3 linked regions of the Lytechinus pictus genome follow. The protein of the gene in region 1 binds, or shares a complex with, the protein of each later gene. Links are inferred from orthologs where the notes say so. Each region holds a gene or a part of one and is shown on either strand. Other genes may lie near its edges. The genes, in order: corepressor interacting with RBPJ 1-like, deoxynucleotidyltransferase terminal-interacting protein 1-like and histone deacetylase 3-like.

Region 1 (10,031 bases):
TATGGGAATCGCGAGCTGTCGAAAAACGCCTAAAATTACACTTTTTTATTTATTTCAGCGAAAAAAAAGTAATAGAAAGTGAAGAACATTACCATCAGACCATATCTCTAGAAAATCTTTACAAGAAATTTCGAAATGACGGAAAAATAGACGCAAATTTGTGGAAAAAAAATCTCGTAATGGGTGGGACAACTCGGCCCGCGGTCCGAGATGTCCCGTGGTCCGAGTTGTCCCTGATTCATAAGAGGGGGCATAGTACATGTCGCATGTGGAAGATACAAGTTACGTAATGTAAGTCCCGAGCACTAGCGTACCTAGGGGGGGGGGGGCAGTCTGCCCCCCCCCCCCGATGAGTCACAAACCCATGCAAATTACATATCTCTGCCCCCCGGCCCCCCTGACAGGCTTGAAAACCTATTTTGCCCCCCCCCCCCCCCCGACGAGCTTGAATACCTATTTTGCCCCCCCTGGCGAGCTTGAAGACTTTTTTTTTGCTTGTCAAATTTTTTCTGGTACGATTGAAGACCTTTTTCATTGAAGAGCCTTTTTTTCCTTTTTTTTTGCTTGTCAAATTTTTTGGTGGCCGATTTTGCCCCCCTGTGGAAAATCCTAGGTACGCCATGCACTGCCCGCGCTACATGTATGTTGGTAGCCCTGGGACCTCTGGATATTAACTAATCCAATTTAATTACAGATGGCAGATTTTTTTATTATCTGAGTAGCCCCCCCCCCCCCGGATTATTTGTTCTCACATTACTTTCCTTTTTAAATTTCCTTTCGTTCTTTCTTTCATTTTTCTTTCTTTCTTCCTTCCGTTGCTCCTATGTTTTTTTTTCAGGTGAAATCCACTCGGGGGATGGCCAGCCATGCCCCCATCTGTTTATGCCTCTGAGATGTAGGCTATACTCATGATCTTAATCTTCGATTTTCCAAAGTAGGGGGGTGCAATTTCTCAAGTAAAATTTGACAACCCCCCCAAAAAGGTTATCACAGAAAAATTGTCATTTTGTCTCGCGTAAGATTTGACAAGTAAAAAGAAAAGATGGTGACTAAAAATAAAAGACTCATTTTGTCCGTGTAATATTTGGCAAGCCTCCCCCCCCCCCCAAGTTTAACATCTGAGCATGATCGGTTAAGGGTTAGCATTGAGGTGAAATTTTTTTTTAAAGATATTTCTATCAAAATTGCTTTTAAGATAATCTTTGATATCTCAGGTTTCAAAGAACTCAGTTTCATGAAGATTGATAAATCCGAAAGTACTGGAATAGTCCATTTTATTTGTAGGGGTGCTATTACCTCTCATCACGGACGGACATTTTTACTCAAATTAAATTCTCTCTAGTTTTATTGTTTTTAAAGTTATTCTAATTTGGTTTGGATGTTCTTGCATTCTGAACATTAATCTATTATCAAACATAAATTAGTAGAAAAAAAATATTGGGAAGTAATTTTTTTTGGTAGGTGTGAACATTTCCATTTTGAAATTTCCGTCCGTGATGAAAAAAAATATAAAAAGTTTTTTTATTTTTTATCAGAATAGAAATAAAAAATAAAAAGGTGTAGAGGTATCTCACTAAACACTGTACATCATTTTATTTGAACATAGCTGAAATCCATGCATTTTATCCATATCATAAACTCAATCAAAAATGATCACGGACGGACATTAATTTCATCACGGACGGACAATGTAAATTCACTCAAATTCAATTCACTCTATTTTTATTGTTTTCAAAGCTACTCCAATTTGGTTTGGATTTTCTTGTACTCTAAACATTAATCTATCATCAAACATAAATTAGTAGAAAAAATATGGGAAGTAAATTTTTCTGGTAGATGTTAACATTCCATTTTGAAATTTCCATCCGTGATGAAATTAATGGCTGTCCGTGATCATTTTTATTGAGTTTATGATATGGATAATATGTATGGATTCAGCTTTTTATTCTTTATCAGAATAGAAACAAAAATAAAAGTGTGCAGAAGCATCTCACTAGACACTGTACATCATTTCATTTGAATATAGCTAAAATCCATACATTTTATCCATATCATAAATCAATCAAAATAATCGCAGACGGACATTAATTTCATCACGGACAGACAATGAGCAAATACTGAGCAGATTATGAATTTAATTTTAGTTCCAATTTGCAGTGAAAAATGGTACTGAGAATTATTCAGAACTCAAATGGATGGAAACCTACAACTCTTCACAATTTTTTGTGAAATCTTTCTTTGGCTGTTATTGGGACTTAATTGTTGTCAGGAAATTTTTTTAAAACATAATTGGAATGCAGATAGAGTTGGAAGCTACATGTATGCCAAAAAGCAGGAAATGAAATAGAGCAAGAATAAGTCAAAAGCTGTATATTTCATCAATTGAAGCTTGCAGAAAGTGATGGAAAAGAAGAAAGTAGAATGCATATTCTGATAAGCAGAAAAAAAAAAAAAAATTCCATGTGCAAACCTATGGATTCACAATGCTTCTAACAGAACATGACATCACGTCCTTGAGGCTTGTGAAAAGTACAACAATTCCTTTTTTAAAGTCCATTTTGGAGCTAATTTTGAGCAAATTGCTGATCTGGTAATCTGAAAATGCATACAATTCATTAAAAAAATTTGCACTGCAGTGTTTTTAAGTTTAATTGGTATCTGATTTCAATTTTGGATTTGGTCAGTGCCTAAATACATGAGGCTGTTGATATGAAGGTGTGTCTCCACTTTAATATGGACAAAAGATGAATTTGAAGAGAGCCTGGACAAGTGTTGTGGTCATACTTGATCCACCAAACAAGCATAATGATCAGCAACCTGTGAATCTTTTGGATTTACTTAATGGACATTAAAAAAAAATATGTGCTCTTCGAAAATTAATGCCTAAAAATGTATGAACATTTATCATCATGATAAGTATCAACATGATCATTGATCCACTGGATGTTGATTTGGTACCAACTACAGTATTCTCTAAATTGAAAAGAAGACAATGTGCATTAGGATATTTGATTTTGAAAAGAACTGTCTTTAAAAGCAATCATATGGCTAGATTATTTTGTGTGTCTAGCATAGAAATCATGTTGCTACAACTTAAATCAAGTTGTAGCAACTTGATTGAAGTTGTAGCAACTTGATTGTGCAACTAATATTGTTTAATCATATAAAAAAATGTACAAAGCATCAATACATTAGCATTTGTTCCCCCAAACAAGTAATAAGAACTTCTTACAAGGTACTTCCAATGTATTTTATATGTGTCCGTCCGTGATGTCCGTCCGAGATGTCCGTCCGAGATGGAAAATATTTGCAATTCTCTCAGAAGTTTGATATTGGTTAAGAATTCAATATGCTGAACATAGAAGCTAACATACCCGAGTGTAAGTTGCATTAACAATTATTGGTCAATGTTAAGCTATTTAGATAGAAACAATAAAAATGTTCAAAAATTCTGAAAACCACATTTCTATCATGTCCGTCCGTGATATGGCACATTTAGTGGCTACCTATGTTTGTAGGTAACCATGGCAACAAACTTTTTTCATCATTCAGCATACTTTGTCCTACCCTTCACTATAAAACACAAAGGAACCATGTTCATCTTATTCCTAATTTGTTACAAGCCTTCAAAGTTTTCAAAATCTATCAAATGTCCGTCCGTGATGAACCGATCACGCTCATATCGGAGGCGCGATGGCTCAGTCGGTAGAGCAGGGGTTTCGGATTCCGGTGACCCGGGTTCGATTCCCAAGTGGTGCGCTAGTGCCCTCAAGGCTTATCCTCATTACCAGGTCCCTCGGAGAGGACCTTAAGCCGTTGGTCCCCTGGTTGCTTGCTCACAGGCATTCGTGCTTTTTTAGCAGTCAGGTAAAAAATCTCGATATAACATAACATTAAAAAAAAGTGAAGGTCATTTTGTCCTGCGTGAAATTTTAAAAGTAATAAAAAGATGGTCACTAAAATTGAAGTTCATTTTGTTTGTGAAATATTTGGCAAGCCCCCCTCCCAAAAAAAGGTTTTAACTAAAAATGATTGAAGGCCATTTTGTTCCTCTTAAAATTTGTCAAGTATAAAAAAAAAATCACTAAAAAATGAAGGTCATTTGTCCCACGTAAAATTTGACAAGCCCCCCCCCCCTAAAAAAAAATGAAAGGTAGCTGATAATGATTGAAGATCATTTTTTCTTGCATAACATTTTACAAAAAAAAGTGTGTCACTATTTGGCGAGCCCCCTACCCTCCAAAAAAAAGGTTTAATTAATAATGATCGAAGGTCATTTTGTCTCTCGTAAAATTTGACAAATAAAAAAAAAGTTGTCACTAAAAAAAGAAGGTCATCTTGTCGCGCGTTATATTTGGCAAGCCCCCACCCCCCTAAAAAAGTTTTTCATTAAATATAGAAAGTCATATGTTCAAAGTAAAATAAATTTGGGAAGCAAAAAAGAAAAGGACAAAAAAGAGCAAAGAATATGAACAAAATATCCCCATTACAAATATTGCTGTGATTTTCATAAGGAGGTGGGGGGGGGACTTAACTTTGTACGAACGACATTTTTTTTTTACATCCAAAATATTGACTATGAATCTCAAAAGGTGGAACGGGCCAGAAATGCTCAACCCCCCCCCCCCCCCCCCGATCTGCCATTGATTCCAATCGATAATGACTTTTCCCTGCAATACTGATGCTTGAAATCAAGATACTGAAGATTGATATATTGTAATATAAATTATGAACGTCTGACAAAAAGATAACCAACCGATCACCTGACCGATCAGCTGACCAGTACGTGAATCACATCGTAGTTGATCAGTCCCCACAGCGTTTGGAACGCTCACCAAGAATTCAAGAAAAAAGACTGAAAATGTAAGTTTAACCTCAATCCATTAAATTTCAAATGTCGTAGAAGTTTCCTTATCATGTTTAAAACTAATTAATACCTAAATTGTTACCATCCACTATGTATTAAGGCGTACATTTGCCAAAGTTCTTGGGTGCAAATAGAAACGGCAATGTCTAACCGGTTTTATCACTGATGTCGCCTATGAGGTCCATACATGTAATGTTTGGACCTCATTGGTACTAGGAGTGATCTCCAGTCTGTCCAGATCTCGATGTCGTTCGAATCCTCAGACATCACTTCGCGGATCGCTTGGATTCGCCGTGCGCCGTAATGTTGATATGGACTGAAGTTAGCAACCGAATCATGTGAACATGTGGCGAACAAACTGCCAGCATGCTGCAGGCGAATCTTTTGGTCGCATAACTTCAGTCCATATCAACATTACGGCGCACGGCGAATCCAAGCGATCCGCGAAGTGATGTCTGAGGATTCGGACAACGACATCGAGATCAAAGCTGAAATACAGCCGTTCCCGATCACGATATTTGGAAAAGAGATGGGTATATTGACCTCGAAATGTGACTGAGAGACATTTGGGAACAAGTATTGGTGATGAGGTATGCTGGTAATCGGCCGGTGCGAAACTGCATTAGCGCCAAAGTTTCAAACTCAAACTATTAATTAGATATAGGCCCTACTTTTTATTTCATTTTTTTCTTCAATTTTTGAATGTGCTCTATTTGGCCTTTTTGTCTTTTAATTTTCACCATCATGAACAGTTTGACTTTCTTTTAAAAAAAAAATTAAAAAATGCCAGATAATGAATGATGCATGTGCAGCTATATATGCAGGCCCTGAACAATTCACCAAAATGTAATTATTTGTTCACTTCAGTTTAGTCTACATACTACATGTATATAGTCTAACAAAAGTTATGCCTAACGACAAACGTCAGTCAGACTCACTACCTACATGTAGGCCTACTCACTAGTCTAGAATATTAACCTCGTACTAGTGTGTGTGGTCTAGATCTAGATTTAACGTTTACTTATTTAAGCAAGTTAACTTACATGTAGCTTACCTTTCACAAAATTTAGTTTCAGATGAATGATAATAATGTTTTATGTTTCTGATCTTTGTCCAAAGTATTTTCAAATTCAACCATTTTACACGTTCATCAAGCCAACTTGGTAATTAAATGTTTTTTGGTTTTTTTTGGTGTTGAACAGGTATGGATGGCAGAACAGAGAACTGATGCAGAAAAGAAAAAGCAAGAAGCCTTGAGATCTGAATATGAAAGAGAACAAGATACTTATAACAATAGGTAATATTGTTTGTCATGGTGTAATTGTTCCACTTTTGCAGGGCTCCTTTAGCAGACATTCAAACCGCTCCCTTTTTAGAGTATTTGTTCTTCTTTTTTTGCTATGAATACACCAATACTTTTTTGGTATGATTTGTTACTTTTTTTTTTCAATTTCCGATCATGGAGTATGTAATATACACAGCGTGTGACACTAGCACCGATCCGACAGTCCCAGACCTGTAAAAATCACTGTCGGGCCAGTAACTTGTTGCATGAAAAGAATAAGTGAATTCTTGCCTACATGAGCACATGTTTAAAAGGGTGAATTTTCAATTTTTCCAAGTAGAATCATTTCACATTTTTTTCACCGATCTCACTACAACAGGCTGGCAATTATTACGTTGAGACAAAACTTTAAAAAATCCTCTTTTTTTCTTCTAAGAATACTTTTTTTTGTTGTAGAAGGTTGGCAGGTCTGCATTAGGCAAATTCAGAAAAGCAGTTTCTGATCTCACCTTTTGAATAACACTAACAGGAGGATGAGGGTATTTTTTTTCTCTCCAAAACCACATTTCTCCCCCCCCCCCCCCCACCCCCAGATAACAGATGTAGTGTCTTTGGGCAAGACTTTCATTCAACGACCTGAAATAAGCAGAAATAAATCAAACTTGTGTCTTGAAATATTGAAAAAAAAAAATTGGGGGGGGGGATGCAGCAGCAAAAACAATGTATTTGGGGATGGGAAACTGATACTTTCTTTTACTTTGCCTATTCATACTGAGGCTCTTTGTGGCATTGAATGACGATGCCCTTCTTAAACTTAAAAGTAAGGTTAAGTACTTGGAAGACATGAATGAAAAGTAATGCAGTATTTAAATGGAAAGTCCACCCATACATCAAGTTAGATTTCCCAGTTGATTTTCATATTTCATGACCATCTGTTATCAATCTACAATCCCACAAACTGAATTTCATGTTTCTATACCATTTACTTGTATCATCAATCATCGGTCCCACAATCTGATTTCCAAGGTTTTTTTACCATGTTTTATCAATCTACAGTCCCACAGGCAGTTTATAATCACTCGCGTCGCGTTCTGGTTCGTAATCACTCGCGTTTTGGATTTTTGGCGATTTTTTTTATTTCGGTGCGATTTTTTTTTAACGGTGTCTTCAATGAAACAGACATGCAGGGAAATTTGAGTTTCGTTTTAAGCCGGCAATTAAGTGCCTTAAAATAAAATGTACTCGACTACTGTTTTAAGTACCAAGAATAGATAACAAGCTTGATCCACCCCAGACAGCTGGCAGCAGTCTGTTTTGAGGAGTTTTTTTCAAACATTTTTAATTTTTTTTAAAATTTCTCTGTATTTGTTCTTTTAAATTTCTCTGTATTTCTCTGTATTAGTTTTTTTTTATTTCTCTGTATTTGTCCTTATTGTTCATCTCCCTTCTCACTTCTTCCTTTTCTCTTCTCAGTCTTCCCCTTATTTTATCTTCTCTTTCTCTTCTTCTACATCCTCTCCTCAATTTTCTCTTTTTAATTTTATTTTTACCCCCTTATGTCCTCCATCTTCTTTTTTCTTCTTCTACTTCTCCTCCTCCTTCTTGCTTTTCTTCTTCAGCACTTTTTTCCCCCCTGATTTTTTACGTTAGTGTAGAATAATTCACAAAGAAAGGAAGAAGCAAATAAATAGTGATATTATGAAATTGTAGCACCTCACTATGCTTTATAAAGAATACCACAGACTTCAGGAAAATCCTCCAAAGGCAAAGCTAAATCGAGAGTAGCCTTTCCTCCTTTTTCTTCTTTATTCCTTTTCTCCTTTCTTTCTCCTTTTTTCCTTGCTTCTTTCTTTCTGTCTGTCTTTTTTCTTTCTTTCTCTTTTCTCCCTCTTTCCCTTCCTTTCTCCCCCCTCTCTCTTTTTTTAGGGGGAGCCCCCCCCCCCCGCTTCCGCCGCCTATGGCTCTAAGATTTAAGATGTGGAATGTGATTATGTTAAAACAGTAGTCAAAATTTGCCTGTTATCTTAAAACAGTGGTCGAGAACGTTTTATTTAAGGCACTTACCAGCTTAAAATAAAACGAAACTCGAATTTCAATTTCATTTTATTTTTCCAGTACGTTTGTCCCATTGAAGACACCGTTAGAAAAAAAATCGCACCGAAAAAAAAAAAATCGCCAAAAATAAAAAACGCGTGTGATTACCAACCCGACGCGAGTGATTACGAACGCGAGTGAATATAATAAGCCGTCCCACAAACTGTTTTTAATGTATCTATCACTGTCTTGAATCTCTATACAGGCAGCTAATGGGTGATGTACGGGTGAAGCATGGCCTGAATTTCATGTACGAACCGCCCAAGGGCATGAAGCAAGAAGAGAAGGAGGACGGGGATCAGGAGTACAAGTTTGAATGGCAGCGTGGGGCTCCTAGAGAAGGCTACGCCAAGGACATGGAAGTCACCGACCAACCCTTTGGTATCGCTGTCCGCAACGTCAAGTGTATCAGATGCCACAAGTGGGGCCATGTCAACACTGATAGAGAGGTATGCGATTTTCGGTGATGTTGCATGAAGCCAATTGTAAATTTATGCATAATATAGGTTCATATTACCCATTTGATCTTTTTGACCTAGTAAATTGGGTGAATACGAGTTTGTCTCAAAAACAAATTGACTAAATCAGATGACAGAATTAATGACAAAAAAATGGTCTACTACATGTAAGAGACAAAATCTTGTATTTCTAAATTCACCACTTAGCATGTTTGATCCTGAAATGGTTGTAATATGTAAAAAAAATATATTCTCTCTTACTGTTGTTATACATTTGAGTTCAGGTATCAGCACACACATAAACACTATAGGAATTCCATTTGCTCCCATCAATAACAGAAGCGCCAAGCTTGTTAACATGGAGACATCTTAGTTTGACCATTGTATTGCATTTCTTTTAGACACTAAATCCATCAGAATTCAAGTAAGTCATGTCACACACTTGGCTCTTTATTCTTGGAAAGTAGTATGATACAATTTTCAGAGGATATACAAGTCATGTATTTACCATTACCAGTACCCTGCTATCCCTATGATACAACACATTTTTTTGATAAACTTCCCATTGCTTTCATCTACAGTGCCCAAAGTTTGACCAGACCAAGGATGATGAGATTGCTGGACCCAGCACCGATAAATCTGACCTGATGGAGGATATGAGAAGGGGTGGGCTGGCCCTGAAACAGAACGTCCTCGGAAGGAAAGTCAATGAAGATGCTAAAAATCAGGTGAGATGACTGTCTGTATGCAAGTAGATGTCACGCTCTCTGTTGTATGTTTTGTGTAATGTGCTCTGAAGGCATGCCAATTCCTGTAATCAGATATGGTGGCTCAGCGTTAGAGTGCCGGCCCCACCAACTTGAGGTTGTGAGTTAGATCCCTGACTGAGCTTCACCAAACACTTGAAAAATGAGACCCTCCACCATACTGTCAGGCGCTCAATGTATGAGAATGGAAAAGGTTAATGATTTATGCAAGGACCGCTTGGTAATACCTAGGTTGGCATCTTTCATGTGACCTCGCCCTGGAATCTAATGTACTAGTACATCTTTTCTTAGCATGTTGGAGAATCTTGGTGGATAGAAGGGAAGAAAATGGCATTTAAATGTCACAGCAAAATATCTGTCATTTTGGAAATCATTTGTTTTTGCTTTTTTAACATTTAATTTCTCCTACAATTTCATTTTACCTTTGTTTGATTGAAATGAATATTGCGAGAACCAGTAGTAAAAACAGAAACATGGTTTTCAGATATTGGATCAGATTTGTCTTTATTATTCTCCCGCTATCTAAGTTTGGAGGAGTATATATATCCTGGAGGAATCTG
Region 2 (9,886 bases), on another chromosome or scaffold:
AATTTTCTTCTTTATTTATGACTGGATAGTTTGAGCTTTCTTCCTCTCTATTTTCTTTCCTTCTTTTCTTTTCAATCTTTCTTTTGAATCTCTCTTTATTTCTTTAAAGGACAAGTCCACCCCAACAAAAACTTGATTTGAATAAAAAGAGAAAAATTCAACGAGCATAACACTGAAAATTTCATCAAAATCGGATGTAAAATAAGAAAGTTATGACATTTTAAAGTTTTGCTTCATTTCACAAAACAGTTATATGCGCATCCCGGTCGGTATGCAATTGAGGGAACCGATGACATCACTCACTCACTATTTCTTTTGTATTTTATTATGAAATATGAAATATTTTGATTTTCTCGTCATTGTCATATGAAATGAAGTTTCATTCCTCCCTGAACACTTTGTGGTTCAGGCAATGAGGTCCTAATCGTCAAATTGGTAAAAATTGAAATATTGTATAATTCAAACAATAAAAAACAAAAGAAATAGTGAGTGAGTGACATCATCGACTCTCTAATTTGGATGTTACTGGCTCGTTCATATAACTATTTTGTTAAAAATAAGCGAAACTTTGAAATGTCATAACTTTCTTATTTTACATCCGATTTTGATGAAATTTTTAGCATTGTGCTAGTCTGATTTTTCTCTATTGATTCAAATCAACATTTTTCTGAGGTGGACTTGACCTTTAAATTTCCTTCCTTCTTTTGTTCATTTTTTTTCTGTTACTATAGCTGTCTTTCTTTTTTGGCATTCTTTTCTTTCTATCTTTTTTTTCTTTCTTCCTTCCATCCAACCTTTGTTTACCTCTTTCTTTAATCCTTCTTTTTCCTCTTCCTTTCATTCTTTCTTACTGTCTTCCTTCCTTCCGTCCATCCATTCTTTTCCTTTTCTTCCTTACTTTCTTCATCCCTTTCATTCTTTCTTTTCTTTCTTTATTTCTTTCCTTCATTCCTTCCTTTCTTTTTGTCTTTCATTCTTTCTTTCTCTTTCCTTCCTTTCTTTCTTTCTGATTTTCTTTATTTCTGTCTTTTGTTCTTTTGATCTTTCTTTTTTCCATCCATCCTTTCTTTTCTTATTTTTTCTTTTTGCCTTCCTTCATCTCTTTCCTTCATTCCTTCCTTCATTTCTTTCTGTCTTTTGTTCTATCTTTTATTTCTTTTTTTCCTTCCTTCCATCTATCATTATACCTTTTCTTTCTTCCTTCTTTCCCTTCTCTCGTTTTCTTTCTTTCCCTTTTCCTTCCTTCCATCAATCCTTTACATTTTCCTTTTGTCTCTTCCTTTCTTTCTTTTCACTTTTTTTTTATTCGTTCCTTCCTTTCTCTTCCCCTCATTTTTTTCTCTTCATTTTCTTTCTTTCTTTTTTATTTCCTTCTTTCTTCCTTTCTTTTTCTTTCCTTCTTTCTTTCAGATTTTTTTTTTCTTTCGTTCTTTTGATCTTTCTTTTTTTCCCATCCATCCTTTCTTTTCTTCCTTATTTTTTCTTTCTGCCTTCCTTCATCTCTTTTGTTCATTCCTTCCTTCATTTCTTTCTGTCTTTCGTTCTATCTTTCTTTTTTTCTTTTTTCCTTCCTTCCATCTATCATTATACCTTTTCTTTCTTCCTTCTTTCCTTTCTCTCGTTTTCTTTCTTTTCCTTCCTTCCATCAATCCTTTACCTTTTCTTTTTCTCTTTTCTTTCTTCCTATCTTTCTCTTTAACATTTTTCTTTCTTTTTCTTTTTTATTTGTTCCTTTCTTTCCTTCCTTTCTCTTCCCCTCATTTTTTGTCTCACCTGCATAGCAGAGTGAGACTATAGGCGCCGCTTTTCCGACGGCGGCGGCGACGGCGGCGTCAACACCAAATCTTAACCTGAGGTTAAGTTTTTGAAATGACAGCATAACTTAGAAAGTATATGGACCTAGTTTATGAAACTTGGCCATAAGGTTAATCAAGTATTACTGAACATCCTGCCTGAGTTTCATGTCACATGACCAAGGTCAAAGGTCATTTAGGGTCAATGAACTTAGACCATGTTGGGGGAATCAACATCAAAATCTTAACCTAAGGTTAAGTTTTAGAAATGTCATCATAACTTAGAAAATATATGGACCTAGTTCATGAAACGTATACATAAGGTTAATCAAGTATCACTGAACATCCTGCTTGAGTTTCACATCACATGACCAAGGTCAAAGGTCATTTAGGGTCAATGAACTTTGGCCGAATTGGGGGTATCTGTTGAATTACCATCATAGCTTTGAAAGTTTATGGATCTGATTCATGAAACTTGGACATAATAGTAATAAAGTATTACTGAACATCCTGTGCAAGTTTCAGGTCACATGATCAAGGTCAAATGTCATTTAGGGTCAATGAACTTTGGCCAAATTGGGGTATTTGTTGAATTACAGCCATAAATTTGAAAGTGTGTTGGTCTAGTTCATAAAACTTGGACATGATAGTAATCAAGTATCACTGAACATCCTGTGCGAGTTTCAGGTCACATGATCAAGGTCAAAGGTCATGTAAGGTCAAAGAACTTTGGCCACGTTGGGGGTATTTGTTGAATTGCCATCATATCTCTATAAGTGTATTGGTCTAGTTCATAAAACGTGGAAATAAGAGTAACCAAGTATCACTGAACATCTTGTGCGAGTTATAGTAGTTTTCAAAATCAGCACTGCTGCTATATTGAATCGCGTGATGCAGGTGAGACGGCCAGAGGCATTCCACTTGTTTTTCTATTTTTTCTTTCTTTCTATCCTTCTTTCCCTTCTTTCTTTCTTTCCATCTTTCTCTTCCCCGCAGCCATTCTCTCTCTCTCTTTATTTCTTTTTTTCTATAATTCTTCCTTTATTTCTTCCTCTCTGTCTTTCTTCTTATTTTTTTTCTTTTATTCTCTCCCCCTCTCTTAATTTCTTTTTTTTCCTATGGTTATTTTCAGTGATTTCCCCTTTTTTTATTGTGTGTCCTAGTCCCCTCCAAAATATATGGAAAATATATGAGATTAGGAAATTAATTAAGAGCATATTGACCATATATTTTGTCATGATGTTCAAGATAAAAAAATAAAAAAAATACAACTACAAGGTCAGGTACATCAGTAGTCATGTTAAAAAATGTATTTTTAAAGCCGTCAATGGTATGGTATGTAAAACCATAAAACCTAACTTGTTTTGAAGCAATAAAACTTTGTTTTGAAGGATTTTTTCGGGCAAGTGAAATCTATATTCGGGCAAGTATTTCCCAACTATTTGAAAATTTACTTGCCCGACTGGGCAAGTGCTTCAAAAAGTTATGTAGCCCCCTGCCCTATTGTCTTTGCGTTGTGTACATTTGGATCGAGGGATCTACATGACATCGGTCTGGTAAGAAACCTTTATTTTTTCACATTTTAATTGAATATTTTTTTAAACCTTCTCATGCATTAGGCGTAGGAAGGTGTGGAGAATAATAAAAACCCGTTCATTTACGTGATTTTTAATAAAAGAGATGGATTTCCTAGGGAGATCCATCTTTGTTTACATGTCTCTCTTATGCATATATATGGGAGGGGATTCAAGACTCCAATGATGAAGAAGTATATGTCAAATTTTTTTAAAAGACATCATCATGGAGTCCTCAAGACTAGGCCTAACGTCAATGACAACGAGGCTTTTAATAGGGTGTATGGAGAAAAAAATTATTTTTCTTATTTCAAGAAAATATCACATTTTCTTTGTGAATTTGAAGAGAAATAACCTTCAGACTGACAGAAATGTAACATTTTTGAAAAAAAATCCAATTATTGGCTGCAAAAAAGAAGAATGAAATTAGGTCAATTTTCAGCATTTCTCTGCCATAGGCATACATAGACTGTGTAGTTAAGAAATGGACAAACACAATTCAAAATTTTTAGCTTCCGAGAGCTGTTATAAATTCATCATTAATGCCAAAAACTTGTCCATAAAGAGTCTAATAAGATTTTTTTATGCTCTTTCTGATGGTATGATTTTTATAAAGATTTGGAAACCAGATCACAATGAAAAATTGCGACGAAGTGAAAAAAATTGTGCAAAACAGACATTTCATTATCCCATAGAAAACGCATGGGGAAATGACAATCTCAACACACACAAATGAGGGTTTGCAATTTATCTCTAAATCCTTATTTAAAATGATCATATAAACTTGTCCTTACTGTCAAAAGAAGCCCTTGAATCTTCTCTTTCCATACATGCCAAACACAAGTTAATAATAAATTCAGATCACATTTTCCCCCTAAATCAGCCTGTTTTATGCTGACACTTCAGTGTGGCTTCAGACACCCTACTATTAACGTTGTCGTTAGATCTTGAATCTAATTCTAAGACTAACGTTAAGACTAACGTTAAGCCTAACTTGTTAATTTTGTATTTGTGGACGCGACCAATCGCAAGTCTATTGTTAAATCAATCATTTCTTTTGTAATTAATTGTAAATTTGTGATTGATTGTTGAACTAGAAAATGTACAAACAAGGGCTACTAAATTGGTACCTGAGCGCACTGGTCAACATATCATATAGTCTATAAGGATTATGCTCGGGCACTTTGTTCAATAATTGGTGCTTTTATACTTTTCAATTGTCATAGAGTTCTTTACATGGATGGCTGACAGTTGGTCCTAAGGGGGAGATGCCTGCCCCTCAAATTTTGAATTTTGTGCAGCAAACTTCTGGGGTTTTGTCTGTGTCTTCTCATAGAATGACTTAAAAAATGTCATGAAATTTCAATGCATGATTGAAAGTTTTGCATTGTGACAAGTTTCATTGCTGGAGTTATCAAGTTCAGATGCCATACAACTTGAATCCTTTCATGGACCAATACTTGGATTCCTTAGACGTAGGATTTAGATCCACGTTTAAAGTCAAGTTGGAGACAAGACAAGTAAGAACATTGAATTGAACCAAGACTGAACAGGAGCGGGGGAAATTTAAAGGGGAATCCAACCCAAATAAAAACTTGTTTTTATAAGGAAAAGAAAAATCAGACAAGTTGATAGGTGAAAGTTTGAACAATATTCGACAAACAACAAGAAAGTTATGAATTTTTAAAAGTTGTAAATATTGTTAATCACTATACCCATGGAGACTTCAAATTGGCCGCATAGGGGATGTCATAGTGATGTAAGGCAAGGACTACTCTTCCATGTACTCCAATACATATTATGGCTTAAATGTCATTTTCCCCAAAAGTTTTATTTCAAATTATATTTTTCTTTCATGAGGAAATAAAACAATATACTACCTGGATTATATTTAGATTACTGCCCCAGGGGAAGGGGTACTTAGGAGAAAACCACAAATCCCTGATTATAAAGTACATGGCCTATGGGAAAGTTGTCCTTGCCCTTTGTCATAATTTACTTACCCAGTTGCCAATTTGAAATTTACATAGTATTATTGATCTCAATTTTAAAGCAGCTATAACTTTCTTATTGCTTGTTCGATTTCTTTCAAACTTTCACCATTCTGTTTAATTTATTTTTCTCCTTCCCAACACAACATTTTATGGGCAAGGCTGGATTCCCCTTTAAGCACTTTCCATTTTCACAGGAAAAAATCATCAATCCTAGACAGTGTATCACACTACAATGCTGACAAATTTTGTTATGATTTCCTTTCAGGTACAAATACAATAAAGAATTTGACAGGATGAGTTCTGTTGAAAGCCTGTCACCGCACTGGACGAATGAAAGACTCACCAAGAAGAAGGCCCTCCTATGTAACAAGATAGTAAGCATCCCATTCATAACTTTAAATATCTATTCTATGTCTGTCTGTGTCTCTCCCAGGGCTAGTGCATTCGAGCGAATGGGTGACCACCCCACCCTCTATCATATTTCAAAGTAGTCGGGGCAAAAATAGAAAATTGGGGGGAGGAGAAGAGGGAGAGAAAGAAAGAAAGGAGAATATGTAAAGAAAGGTTTTGATTGTTTAACTCTATTATACCCTTAAAAAAAAATAACACAATTTTTTAATTATCTTGACACCCCCCTTCCCAAATCATAACATTAGTCATAGAAGATAGGGGTCATGATTCATTTCTCAAATCTGATATTACCAAGTTAATACATTTAGAGTGTTAGACATTATCAGATAAAAGGGAGAGAGTTGGTCAATAAAGGTATTTTTTTCATCGTTGGTGATGTGGAATGTATGCCATGATTATAATTTCCAATAAAGATTTTGGATACTTTCAAGTTGGTACAGTGTATTTTTTAAAGGTGGAGAAGCGATTTATCCATGTTATGGAGAAATGAAATGGTATGATATACTATTAATTAAATGGATGAGTATATTTTTCTCAATTATAGCTACATGTACAGCATTACACAAGTATGTGCTTAATGTTATTAATAATTGTGGGTGTGTTTTTCTTTACAAACTTGTTGTACTCTTTGCAGAAGAATCCATATTGCATGTCTTTGAAGACCTTTCCTACCAACAAACATCAGCGGCTCACCAGGCAACCTGGTGTTAACTTCAAGACAAGGTAGGAACATGTGATGGTAGAACAACAAAAATTCAAGAAAGTGTGATATTCTCACTTGTGTAACTTTATCCTTATCTCAAGTTTTTCTTTCTTTTATATTAAAAAATATATGATAACACATTGTTGGCTTGAATGTCGAATGGTACTCATCATCTCTTTATTAACTCATCAAGATAAGAAGTGTTTCAATAAGTACATGGATTCAGTGGCGGACCGTGAGCCGGAGGAGACAAAGCATTGGAGGAGCACAGCATTGTTCACAAACAAAACAGTGCTGCCTCCAATCATTGTCTTCACGGGTCATGGTCCGACAATGCATGGATTACATGCAGAACATGGTTATAGGTGTTATTCATAGCATACTTTGCTGTATCTCTGTATCTTGAATGGTAACACTTGAATATGGAATTTTATTTGAAAGAGATATATGAACTGGACAAAAATGCTATATTATTGCTGATCCTGAATATAAGTCATTTTACTTGAGCTAATCATTACATATTTTGAAGTGGTAGCTTTTCATGAAAATTCTGATTTTATAATTCATTTTCACTATTATTCATATTTAGGTTGTTTTTTTTTAAGTATGAAAATGAATAGAAAATTAAAAACTGTGGCCAATTTAAGGAGAAAACAGACAAATAAAAGATGTGGTCTCTAATGTAAGATGTTTGCTGTTGACTGAATCCTGTAATTTCCATAGACTTTATTTGTGGACTACCTCAATCCACGAAGCAACGGATTCATTTTCAGATTAAGAGTTTTAAGATTAACACTTTCTTAATGTTTGTTTTGATTAGACATTTGCTCCAAAATATCCCACTTGTAGTATGGAAATTACCAGATTTATCTTATGTACATTTACATATCTTATTTGTCATTGTTTTGTATGCAGGAGTGGCGTGGTGTTCAATCCCATCACGCCCTTGGAGATTTTACGAGGGACATTGCAGAAACGAATTAATAAAGATATCCATTGTATATTCCAGTATTATGCTCAGGTTGGTACGATTGTTCTTATTTCATTGGCAAAATATTGTGTCTTGGGGCAACCTTTAACATTCAAGTATCTTAAAAGAACCTGTCCTATGGAGAGGTCACAGGTCATGTTGCTTAAATGTGAAACACAACCCTGAACAAATTTTGTATTTCTTTCAAGTGTATAGTTTTGTCTTTTTGTTTAATGTAGGCCTCTATAGATAATGTACCTGTAAGTGATCCCTTGCTCTAACAATACTATAATTGAGTGGAATCTGATCATATTTTAGTCACTTTCAGGCTTTGTTGTCTGGTGGGATGATATCAAATATGCCTTTATAAAGAAATGCACTAAGTATTATGTATATCTATGACTATACTGATTAGATTAAGCAACATTTTCATTTTTTATATTTTTTTCAAAGTATTTCTACATGGCTGTTGAAAACATGAGAGAGAACTATGGAGCGGACAGCGTGACTGAAGAACATGTTCTCACCGTCTTCAGGAATAGCTTGGAGGCCGTAAGTTGGCTAATTTAAGCTGAACCAAGTGGAATTCTGATTCTCTCAGTATTTTCATTTCATTAAGGGAATAATAAAAAGAACAATTATTGAATTGAAAATAGAATGAATAATGACAAAATAGTTCTGTTGGTTTTAAATGAAAGAAGGGAGAAGAAGAATGGATTGAATACTCCATATGTCATTCGGAATCTTACTTCACTTTGGTTGTTCAACCAGCTTTAAGTGCTCTTCATCACCTAGAGTGGAGTAAACTTGTTTGAATAGACATTGGGTGATTTCAAGTTTGGTGTTGGGGTTGATGCTGCCACCAAACGGATATCCGAACGGTTTCCGCCCGCGTGGACGGATAACGGTTTTCATTTTTCGGGTTCGGGTATCCGTGGACACTGATTCACCACTTTCCTGTCACAAAAACTCATTACATTTAGTAAGACTCACCAACAAAATTTATAAGTTTTAGTCGCCAATATATCACCAATATCATTTAATCTTCTTCTGTAATATATTCCCGCCGAAAACCATCGTTTTTATCAGTTTTGAAACATGACCTTATATCAGTTTTAGAGATTGACTGTCCGTGAATGGAGTAAAGTTCCGTTCTGACAACGATGGCGATTTTACTATGGTGTCGCTTAAGATCGTTTTTCTTTCCCGTCTTATGTTTTGATGATTTCAAATGCGTAACTCATCGCATATTTTCTTACCTCGACTTTCAATGCGAGTGAAGAATGAAAATAATTTGAAACCATTTAAGCGTCAAATAAATGTTGATCGTGTTACTCGGGTGTGTCATGTTGTTTCTTGTAATTTATTCATCAAATGCAAAATGAATTCTACTTTTTCTCACAGCAACTTTGGTTACCAATGAAGATGATTATTTTTGAAACTATGAAAAGTTGAAAACGTCGAATGAATGTTGATTGCGTGTGTCATGTCGTTTCTTGTAATTTATTCATCAAATGCAAAATGAATTCTACTTTTTCTCACAGCAACTTTGGTTACAAATGAAGATGATTATTTTTGAAACTATGAAAAGTTGAAAACGTCGAATGAATGTTGATTGCGTGTGTCATGTTGTTTCTTGTAATTTATTCATCAAATGCAAAATGAATTCTACTTTTTCTCACAGCAACTTTGGTTACAAATGAAGATGATTATTTTTTAAACTATGAAAACGTCGAATGAATGTTGGCTGCGTGTGTCATGTTGTTTTTTGTAATTAATTTAAATTGAAATGCGTAACGACATATTCATTTTCAGTACTTTTTTCTCACATCAACTTTCGATATGAATGAAGAATGAAGATAATTTTGAAATCATGTAAACGTCAAATACATGTTGATTGGCCGTTTTATTTTGTTTCTTTTGACTTATTTATCAAATCTGAAATAATGATTCATCCCTTTTCTTTCTTGAACTGTCATTAATAATAATTAATTAGAATGAAACTGTCCATTATCTAGATGTCAATTATATTTGTGTTATTGCAAATTTTAAATTGTTCACGTATGTTTATATTTTGATAACTTGTTCGTAGAAACTTATATCAGGATCAAAACTTCATATTTTATTCTGGTAGAATTATTGAATTATGAAAGAATGATAATTGTCAATTGAAAATCTCTTTCATGAATTAATATTTAATATATAAATTACAAAACACACAATTTCCTTTATTTCAGTTTAAATGGCATATCCACTGTAAATTTTGATATCCACCATCACGTAAACAACAATTATTTAAAAGGCGGTATCCGATCGTGCCAGAAAGGTTTATGATGTGCGCCTGCCGAGTATGTGGTCGGTTGTGAATCGACGTGTTTTGCAGTAAAACTTACAGGTGATGAATGTAAGTGATTAGTTACTGTTACTGTGATTAAATCTTG
Region 3 (10,384 bases), on another chromosome or scaffold:
TAAATAATAATAATTAGGAACCTGCTTACTCAAAAGATAGACATCAATACTCACCAACACCTTGCTACATTCCTGACTGTGTAACCGCCCCCACCCATCACTAGTAGGGGTACATTAAATTGTTTGACGTACTCTACACATTCCCCATGGCCTTTGATACTGAGACTGAAGCACCCTAATCTGTCACAGCCTAAAGAGTCTGCTCCACACTGTCGAGATTAAAACAAAGATTCATCTTAGAAATGAGATTAACAAGTGGGAGTCAGTTGGTGCTTTAAGGCCACCGCACACCTTACGACCCAACTGGTCTACGACTGGCTTGCGAATGAGTTAGTAGAGATGAATCGCAAGGTAGTCATAGGCCTCAACACCGCACACCTTGCGATCCAAATACCATGCTGTCTGTGACTCACGCATGCGCTTTTTGCTTTTTGCCATAGCAACTGAGAAAATGGCGCTTAATTACTACAGCATATGCGCGATGTATATCATATACGCGTCGTGCAACTCTGCTGTCTAATTGGCTGGAAGTTGGATTGAGCTTGCGATTCAGTCATAAGGATTCGACATGTCAAATCCTTACAATTTTCCTTGCGACTTGTCTCTGACTGGTCTGCGACTCTCAAGCTGACAAGAGCTGTGACGTCACATCTCCCCTCACTCAGTCACAGGCCAGTCGTAGACCAGTCGGGTCATAAGATGTGCAGTGGCCTTTAGATTCTTAACTTCTTTGTCAGATGGAATGTAAATGAATACACATATAAAGAGCTGCCATCCTTCAAAATAGCCAATATTCATTCTGTACCTCCAAAATTGGTATTTCTTCATCAGAATTTGCATTTTTTTGCAGACATTTTTTGTTTTAATTTTTTTATACAATTTCTTTGATTTCTAACCCTTACCCTAACCATCCTCATGCAACAAAAATGCACAAGTACTTTCCTCTACAATCTAGTCACTTCTATTACTAAATTCATGTATACTAGATTCTACATTGTTTAAAGGTAAAATAAAGTACTTGCAGCAAACAATTATTTCATGAGAAAGCCTTTAAAATCAAGATAAATTACCACCATATTATCATAGATCTAGATCTGTTACATTGAAATCAACTTATCTTTGTGAAATCATGAAATCTTAGCTGAAAACCGATAATTCTAATGATAACTAACACAAAAGGGAGTAGGTGGGACAGTGTATTAATATTGCTTGGAAAAATACCCAACATTTTATGGAATTCTGGGAATATTTTGCTCATTTCTCAACAATTGCACTTTTTTTCCAGAGCCATTTATCACATATTTTTATCTATACATACATAGACTTGGGTGATCATTTTATTGGATTCTCTTCGAACTCATTTTGAGATCATTACCACAACTGGTATTTATCTTTTAATGTGTAAATGTTTGGATACAATATCATGCATATTCCTTCGCAAGTAATTCTTTCACCCCTCTTTTTTCCTTTTATTATTTCTATTTTCATTCCTGTCACAGTTTCATAACAAATAATGATTTTTTTTTCACAGTTGGCAGCATAGCTTGATGTGTATTTATTGAGGGTTTTTTATGCATAAGAATAAAAAGATCTACACTTTGAAAGTGAATTTGAGAGACTTGCCTGCAAGACTATACACGTAGGTCTATAGAACTCCATGACACTCTGTATAACTGGTTTAAAGAGACCGGAGTACATGAGATCGTCTATGCCATCCTTGAGAGGCACGTTGATGGAGTAGTAACGCCCGTTCTCTAAGCCTACCTCATACATGTCACCTGGAAGAAAAGAAATAAACAGTAAACTGCTGATTGGTCTACAAAACCGCTGCGCTACTTTGCGTTTGGTCTCACCCCAGATGGTCTAATCCTACTTAACCTACAACCAGTTTTTTTTACTACAACCAGTTTGTCTACTAACCATTTGGTCTAATTATCATTATTCCCATTTAGCATTTTGTCTTATTTCCAGTTAGGCTCTACCCATTTTGTTCAATATCCACTTGGTCTAACACCACTTGATGGAATCTACATCATACATATCAATTGATGGGAAAGAAAATTCAGAGTTGGGAATTGAATGAAATAAAAAATGAATATACCCCATTTATTGATTATCGATTTACAATAATAAGTATACTCATTATTACACGCCTTTTACCTACACATTAGCCCTGTTTCACAAATACTTACAACTATGGTGACTGTACTATTATTGTAACTCACATAAAAGCCTTGATTGTGATTGGCTACTGAGCCCTGTTACCACTGTAGTTGCCATAATGGCAAAGTTACCAAAGTTGTAACTCTTTATGAAACAGGCCCATTACCTGTGCCTGGAAAGAAGTGATTGCCATATTTATGGAATGATACTGTCATGACCCTGTCTGTGAGGTAGAATGCTTCCTGAACACCATCTCCATGATGGATGTCTATATCAATGTACAGCACTCTAGGATGGTATCTAGCAGAGAAGGGAACAAGAATGGGGAATCTCATGAAATAATGTGCACAATGATGATTAAGTTATGTGAAAAAGGAATTGAAAAATGACAGAAAAGATTTAATTTGAAAGAATTATGATGTAGTTCATCTAGCTTAAATGAAATTACATTGTTTGTTCATCTTTATCATATCAGCAAATATAAAACGGTATTAACAAAAAGGCAATTTTCTTCATGATTCACCATATAAAGCTGAGAAAATAATAAGATACACTGTACAACCTGTTATACAGCAGATTGGGGAAAAGGGCATGCTAGCACTGCTATGTCTTAAGCTAAATGTATAACTTTAATTATATAGGAAATTCTGAATCTGACAATATTACTAAGATAACAATACTTCAAAAATGTTAAGCAAAGATACAAAACCTATGAACAAGATTATTTTCAAGATCGTAAATCAAATAGAAACATGGCTTACTTGAGAATTTCTAGAATAGCAATGACAATATCATTGACATAGCAGAACCCGGAAGCCTCAAACTTCTTTGCATGATGAAGCCCACCAGCCCAGTTTACTGCAATGTCACATAGCTGCAATGGAAACAAATTTTCTAACAATTTACAGTTCAATTCCATTCAATACAATTCAGATTTATTCCCACTATAAAAACATAAAAATTAAATCAGTGATATAAAAAAAGATATTGTACATGAAGAGGGATGAAAAGATAACATAGAGATTTCACAAATTGGCCCCAGCATGATTCTTCCAAAATCTATTTCAAAACATGTTGCTCAAAATCACAACATTTTTAATATTGGTATCATTCCTGAAAATTATGAGATAAATATATAGTACAGTCTGACATAATAGTCTCAATAAAAATGAGAAGTACACTGGTGGAGAAGTCAGAGAGTTGTCAACATCCTATCTCTATAGGCCTACAGTTTCCGTGAAATCCTTGATTTTGATTGGCTGGAAAGCATTGGTCTCTAACTGTTACAATCAGGACTGTCATAGAATAAACAGTTATCTTAGCTGACAAGCTTCATAAACTGTATATACATTACATATTGTTCTCTTATGGGACACCAAAAGGCAAAACCATCCCCCCCCCCAAAAAAAAAAAATCACTTTCCTATACTAACATGTATTCATTTATATACTAAAATATGTTTAAATTCTCACATTGTTGTTCAGTTTGGTTGCTGCTTCTAACGATGCCCCAGTGTACATTGAACAGAAGTCAAAGAGACCTGGAAACACTGGACAGTCGTCACCGACGTTGAAATGACTTAAACTCTTGGTGAAGTTCTGGATGTTCTGAGGTGTCACTCTTTGTAGAAAGTCGATGTAGTCATCTGAATGGAATCTGCACATGTCGTGAGCTGTGGCCCTGTATGGCCTGTAAATCTAGAACAGAAACAAACAAAAAAATGCAGTTAAGTCTGTGATAGTCAACCTTCTGTAAGTTGAATCGTCACCTACACTGAATCAATTCTTCAGACAAGATCAAAACATTATTAACACATTTTGACTAAGTCAAACAGATTTCTGATTCTATTAAAACTCAACAACATTAAAATCCTCCCTATGACAAGGTTAAGTTACAACTGATAAGAGATCATTTTGCATTTTCAAGGGCATTAAAATGAGTTGGTTGGGAGATCTTACCTGCATTTTCTTGTAGAGCCCATAGTTGAGTACTAGATTGTGTGTGAGTGCTAATCTGTGAGGTTTCATGGGATGACCAGGACCTGAGAAGTAAAAGTAAAAGAGATAAAGTAAGTAAAAGAGATAAAGCAATGGTCAATTCTAACTGGTCTCAAACTAAATGACGAGAAAACAGAGGTTTTACAAATAGCATCTCGATTTCATAGAAGATTACAACTTCCCCTGATTAAGATGTTTCTATTGTTCCTAGTGTCTTGGCCAGAAATATGGGTGTTCTGTTTGATCAGCATATGGCATTGGACATATTTGTCTCTGGAAAGTAAACTTGGAAAGATATGTTTGTGTTTGGACTCTAAAACAACAAAGAAACTTGTTCAGGCTCTCGTGACATGTCACTTGCATTTTTGTAATAGTTTGCTTTGTAACATGGCTGAAGTAATACAGAACTCTGCTGCAAGATTGATAGCCCGAACTAAGAAGTATTCTCACATAACCCGTCCTGATCTGATGCATATGCGAAACGATCTCGATGTTATCATGTTGAATATTCATTAATTGAGCTTCGATTTCCGCGCAATTTGCGTTTGCGATGCTTTGGAATCGGCAGTGAATTAATATGTAAATCACCAATTTTGAGACCGATAGAAGCGTAGAAAAGAAGTGAAACTGGGTGAAAAGTAAGAATATTAGTTCTTATTGCTTTTAAAACTTGTGTTGTTTTGGGGAAAATTTTGGCATGTTTATCAACCCAAATTCGTGTGACAGACGAGGACAAATTACATGTCCATCGTCAAAACTCATACATTGTGCAAGGTTAGTACAGCATACTAACCTCACATGTGTGTAAGTGACTGAGCTTAGGCTTAAGACTTATTTGTTCGTAGACCAAAAGCTTCGGTCTCTGTTATGTTGGTTGTTCAGCTGAACTCCGTTGGCTTCACTCACCAAATACAGAGACTGAAGTTCTAGCGCGATCTGTACAGGGGACTCAATGGCCATATGTTTATGTACTTAAGATCGGATAAAACGGGGAAGTGAATTTGCGCGACAGCCGAGGTAAGTCACTATTTTTGTTCCTTTTAACTTGATTTTTTTCCGTTTTTTGGCAATTGATGCCAAGAGGGAATATCAATTTGCATTTTGGTCGCGTGAATTTTCAAAATTTTTACTCATTAAAGACAAAAATTGAAGAGCCCCGACGGGGGGATTTTGCATTGCAAGTCCCCTAATGGTGGCTGCACGCTAGCGAGCCGTCTGTGTATGAGGAGAAATTAAAAAAAAAAAAAAATGTTAAAAAACTCCTCGAAACAGACGGCTGCCAGCTGTCTAATTTGTTCGCAACTTGCCTCCACCCTGACCCACCCCCCCCCCCCACACCCAGACCAATATTGAATATAGCGCAGGCTCATTTGCTCTATCATTTGACTCAATTTATGACTTTTTAATAAAAATGTTGGCAACAGCTGCCGTGACCCCCCGGCCATGACCTGGGCTGGCCTTCCATCCATTCCAACACGTTCACTCCCCCAAAAATCATTCATTGCCTGTTGCCACTGCCAGTTCTTTGTTTCGTGATTGAATGGAGTGCGCGAGATGGGGGATGACTTCGCCGCGGCCGCCTCCAGCTCCAAACAATGTTATGATAAATAAAACTTCTTTTTAACTGCATGAAAGCTCCTGATACAGATCATACATATCCATCCACCTTTGACTAACCATAGTGAAAATTCCCGACATCTGCATCGTAGAAATAAGCTATTGTTTTACTCGACATCGTGGAACAATATAAGTCGATAGGAGTCTCAATTGAAGTTCAATCATTCCAACTAAATTGTGTTCTTGGTATGAATTCATTGGGAAAATTAATGAAACTTTGAAAATTAATTTGCTGACTTACCATCTGCATGTAAATATACAAATAAGATTAAGTAAAATTTTACAATTATATCACCTTTTTTTAGGTTTTACAAACCAGACTTTTAAATAATAAATGAATATTACATGTAGAGCCTGTTTAGAAAATAAAGATGGCAGCGCCCTTGGGATCAATTTCGGTGCGACTAAGCACTGCAAGCTTCACATTTAAACGACGTAAAAACAGACCAGCAATTACTAAGTCAGCTGAGGGTACAACAAGTGATCTATTGTCAACGGAAAAATGCATCGAAAATAGCAAAACAAGTCAAGAAATAACGTGTGTTCCAGTTATAGTTGAATTCCGACGTCTCCTCGAGAGTGTCAAGTACAAAAGCATTGACGTCGTGCCCGGGGTAAGTGTTCACAGCGGGAGCGACAGGAGTTTGCTGCCGGAACGTCGGGGGTGCAGATCTGATGTTACGTGATGGTACATATTGATCATGCACGTGCACTTGAGCAGAGGCGCAATTGCGCAACAATTGAACAGGGTACTTTTATTCTAATGGGAGGCAAGCCATGTGGTCTCACTTAGTTAGAGTTAGACTTAACATTTGTTCTATCTCAATGAAATCAGACTAGGCCCTATATTGTTTAAGAAATAAAGTTAAATTATGATGGGGTGACCGACCATAATTTGCGGACATTTTAAAAATTATCATGAAGTTGATTTTCAATCAAATTTTCTCACACACAGTTCACATAAAAATTAATCAAAATCATACATACCAAACGGAAGGCAAGATCCCAAAGTCAAATTAGCTTGACAGAATTATAAAGTAGGCCAAGCCAAGGCCAGGGTTTCGCCGGTATCGCAATCTCAAATTCCATGACGATCGACTAGTAGTGTGCGCTCGGCTAACAAAGTGTCATAAAAAGTGTGACCTTAATTTGCGCACGATCGTTTTGCAAAGCTTTCGAAAATAAATCAAGCAGACAAAGGTAATAGTATTAGATGGAGGTTAAAATGCTATAAATTCGGTTGGTATAACTATAAGTATATCATTTTACTTTTTATACTTGTTTGGATACCTCTGCTTGCAAACTGGCGATTTCTGGAAGCTTGTCGAGAAGTTTGGATTTTCTCGGAGCGGAAGCAAATGGTAACAAAATTTGCAGATGTTTTGCCAATATTTTCACAAATTGAGACCTTACCTTCAAGAAAATTACGGTACCATACCAAGTAATTTTGCATCTGTTTAGTGTTGGTGATATCAGTTTTTCAAGATTTTGATTCGATATTGGGATTCTACCGTGCACAAAATTAGGTAATGCATGAATTAAGGTCACACCACCATACAACAAAGTTAGAGACTACTAGTACGGTACTAAAGTTAGTTTCCAACTCAATCCATTCCAAGGTTCAATAATACGCCAGTGGCGGACTGTATCAGACTGGAACTTGGAAGAAGAAAAGGCAGAAGAAGAAGATTGTTCTTTTCTTTTCTTTCTTTTCCTCTCATTTACTTTAGAATTCTAATCTAATAGGAGGAATAGAATATGGTATAATGTTAAATCTAAGGTGTACTTCAGAAATTATGGGAGGATGGTTGCTTTGTCATTTTTTGTGGCTCTGTGTTTTTAAATATAACCATCACAAAGCTAGAAACTTCAAAGTTATAACTTGATCTATACAGGGACTCAATGCCCATATGTTTATGTATTAAGTTCGGATTTAAGTGGGAGTTGCGCGACAACAGCCGAAGTAAGTCACTGGTTTTTTCCCTTATAAGTTTATTTTTTCCGTTTTGGTGCATTTCAGGCCAAACCGGAATAATAATCTTGCTATAGGTGCAGTACTTTTTGTTTAAATGTTTTTTATTTGCTAAAAAATAATAGATCCCCGCTGGGGGGGGGGGGTTATATTGCAAACCCCCTAATGGCGGCTGCACCTTTGTGAGCAGTCTGTGTACGAGGAGAAATAAAAAAAAAATTAAAAATGCTTTAAAAAATGACAATGCTTGTCCAATCAAGAGGAGCTTCTCAAGGTCAACTTGAGAACTAAGAGGGAGGAGCCCAGTGAGAAGAAAGATGACTTCATCTGCTGCTGTTCTAAGGAGACCAAGGATTTTTTTGAACAGCTGATGTTGTGCCTAGTCAAGTCTTCTCTCCATCCCTTTTGTAAGGTGTACTCAGGGCTCGACACTAGCGGCGGTCCGACGGTCCCAGACCGGTAAAAATCGCTGTCGGACCAGTAGATTTTCAGAAATAGGAAGATTTACTGGTCCGACATGACCAGTAAAAAATATCATTGTCGGGCCAGTAATTTTTCCAAAAATAGCAAGATTTAAGGGTCCGACATGACCAGTAATAAAATCCATTGTTGGGCCAATAACTTTTCCAGAAATTGTCAAATTTCACTGCAAACCATTTCCCCCCGGTAAATTCTGTCATTCACACACAGAATACACACACTAGAGAAGCATACAGTGTACATGTAGCCAGCTACACAACCCACGTGGTAAATTCTCTACTGGCTGCGCGAACGAAGCTTGGCTAAACTCTGGCAGAAATATCTCACAAGAACTGTCAAAATTCACGGTTCATACTCATGAAAGGCTCTTATAATGTCCATATTTCCTAAAAATTGGAGTAACTCTGTCATTTGTAAGCAGTAAAAGGAGAAATTTTCACTTCTGTTTTGGTTCAAACAGATCGGGTTTCGGGTGATAGCGTCTGAATACATAATAGCCCCACATATGCATTTATGTGTGTGTTGATACACTTGGTTTCTGACTTTCTTTCGTAGCTATTTTAATTGAGCCAAAAAGAAACTGATAAATTATTTGATGATAGTTTTAGCTCTCTTCCTCTGTTTTCTTCCTATCTTTCTTTCCTTCTTTCTTTTCAATCTTTCTTTGTTTCTTCCCTCTCTTCTTTCATTTTTTTGTTACTGTCTTTCTTTTTTTAATTTCCTTTTTTCTTTAATTTGTTCTTTCATTCTTTCTTTCCTTTAAAAAAATATTTTTCTCTATTTCTTTTTTCTCTTTCTTTCTTTCTTTCTTTTTCTTTCTTTCTTTCTTTCTTTCTTTCTTTCTTTCTTTCTTTCTTTCTTTCTTTCTTTCTTTCTTTCTTTCTTTCTTTCTTTCTTCCTTCCTTCCTTCCTTCCTTCCTTCCTTCCTTCCTCCCTCCCTCCCTCCCTCCCTCCCTCCCTCCCTCCCTCCCTCCCTCCCTCCCTCCCTCCCTCCCTCCCTCCCTCCCTCCCTCCCTCCCTCCCTCCCTCCCTCCCTCCCTCCCTCCCTCCCTCCCTCCCTCCCTCCCTCCCTCCCTCCCTCCCTCCCTCCCTCCCTCCCTCCCTCCCTCCCTCCCTCCCTCCCTCCCTCCCTCCCTCCCTCCCTCCCTCCCTCCCTCCCTCCCTCCCTCCCTCCCTCCCTCCCTCCCTCCCTCCCTCCCTCCCTCCCTCCCTCCCTCCCTCCCTCCCTCCCTCCCTCCCTCCCTCCCTCCCTCCCTCCCTCCCTCCCTCCCTCCCTCCCTCCCTTCCTTTCTCTCTTTCGTTCTTTCTTTCTTCCTTTCTTCCTTCCTTTCTTTCTTTTTGATATTTTTTTTTCTTTAATTCTTGAGTCCATCCATCCTATATTCATCTCTTCTCTCATTCCTTTCTTTCCTTCCTTATTTTTACCCTTTTCTCTCCTTCATTCTTTGTTACTCTCTTTGTTTCTTTCTTCCTTCCATCCATCATTTATTTACCCTTTCTTGTTTTTTATTTCTTCCTTCTTCCAGCCCTTTCTCTCTTTCTTACATTCATTCTTCTTCTATCTGTCTTGTTCTTTCCTTTTTCCCTTTGTTAAATCTATCCTTTCACCTACCTTTTTTTACTGCTTGCTTCCTTTCTCTCCTTTATTCTTTCATTCCTTCCTTTCTTTGTCTCTCAGTCTTTCTTTTTTTCTTCCTTCATCTATTCTTTTACCTTTTCTTTTTTTATATTGCTTGCTTCTTTCTTTCCTTCCCTTCCTTTATTTATTTACTTCTATCTATCATTTTACCTTTCCTTTATTCCTTCCTTAATTCCTTTCAATCCTTCCTTCCTCTCATTCTTTCTTTTGTCCTTTCCATCTCTCCTTTTTTCCTTTCTTTTTTATTGCTTCTTCTTTCTTTCCTTTACTACTTACTAGATTTGTTCTTTCTTTCTGTATTGCTTCATTTCTTTCCTTCATTTCTTTTTTTTTTCATTTCCTTCTTTCTTTATTTTTGTTCCTTCTTTATTCCTTCTTTATTCCTTCCTTCCTTTCCTTCTTTAGTTCTTTCTTTATTTCCTTCCTTCACATCTATCCTTTCTTTTTTTCTTCCTTTCTTTTATTCTTTTTCTTTTCTTTCTTTCTTCTTTCTTTCTTCGTTTCTGTCTTGCTTTC

What was found.
Region 2: corepressor interacting with RBPJ 1-like (region 1) and deoxynucleotidyltransferase terminal-interacting protein 1-like share a complex: the UniProt entries of both Homo sapiens proteins name them as parts of the histone deacetylase complex. The link is inferred for Lytechinus pictus from reciprocal best matches to the Homo sapiens genes CIRSR and DNTTIP1.
Region 3: corepressor interacting with RBPJ 1-like (region 1) and histone deacetylase 3-like share a complex: the UniProt entries of both Homo sapiens proteins name them as parts of the notch corepressor complex. The link is inferred for Lytechinus pictus from reciprocal best matches to the Homo sapiens genes CIRSR and HDAC3.

The regions. Positions count from the first base shown.
Region 1 is NC_087257.1:18,284,638-18,294,668, reverse strand, and holds the start of corepressor interacting with RBPJ 1-like, read left to right. Parts: upstream 1-6,042; 5' UTR 6,043-6,075; coding exon 6,076-6,164; intron 6,165-8,451; coding exon 8,452-8,695; intron 8,696-9,285; coding exon 9,286-9,432; intron 9,433-10,031. UniProt on the Homo sapiens protein: May modulate splice site selection during alternative splicing of pre-mRNAs. Regulates transcription and acts as corepressor for RBPJ. Recruits RBPJ to the Sin3-histone deacetylase complex (HDAC). Required for RBPJ-mediated repression of transcription.
Region 2 is NC_087246.1:21,150,215-21,160,100, forward strand, and holds the start of deoxynucleotidyltransferase terminal-interacting protein 1-like, read left to right. Parts: upstream 1-5,616; 5' UTR 5,617-5,654; coding exon 5,655-5,735; intron 5,736-6,406; coding exon 6,407-6,495; intron 6,496-7,390; coding exon 7,391-7,496; intron 7,497-7,898; coding exon 7,899-7,997; intron 7,998-9,886. UniProt on the Homo sapiens protein: Increases DNTT terminal deoxynucleotidyltransferase activity (in vitro). Also acts as a transcriptional regulator, binding to the consensus sequence 5'-GNTGCATG-3' following an AT-tract.
Region 3 is NC_087255.1:32,555,226-32,565,609, forward strand, and holds the start of histone deacetylase 3-like, read right to left. Parts: upstream 5,974-10,384; 5' UTR 5,896-5,973; coding exon 5,838-5,895; intron 4,205-5,837; coding exon 4,122-4,204; intron 3,861-4,121; coding exon 3,636-3,860; intron 3,038-3,635; coding exon 2,925-3,037; intron 2,464-2,924; coding exon 2,330-2,463; intron 1,779-2,329; coding exon 1,624-1,778; intron 210-1,623; coding exon 55-209; intron 1-54. Other genes in the region: uncharacterized protein LOC129271199, read left to right, coding at 6,149-6,391. UniProt on the Homo sapiens protein: Histone deacetylase that catalyzes the deacetylation of lysine residues on the N-terminal part of the core histones (H2A, H2B, H3 and H4), and some other non-histone substrates.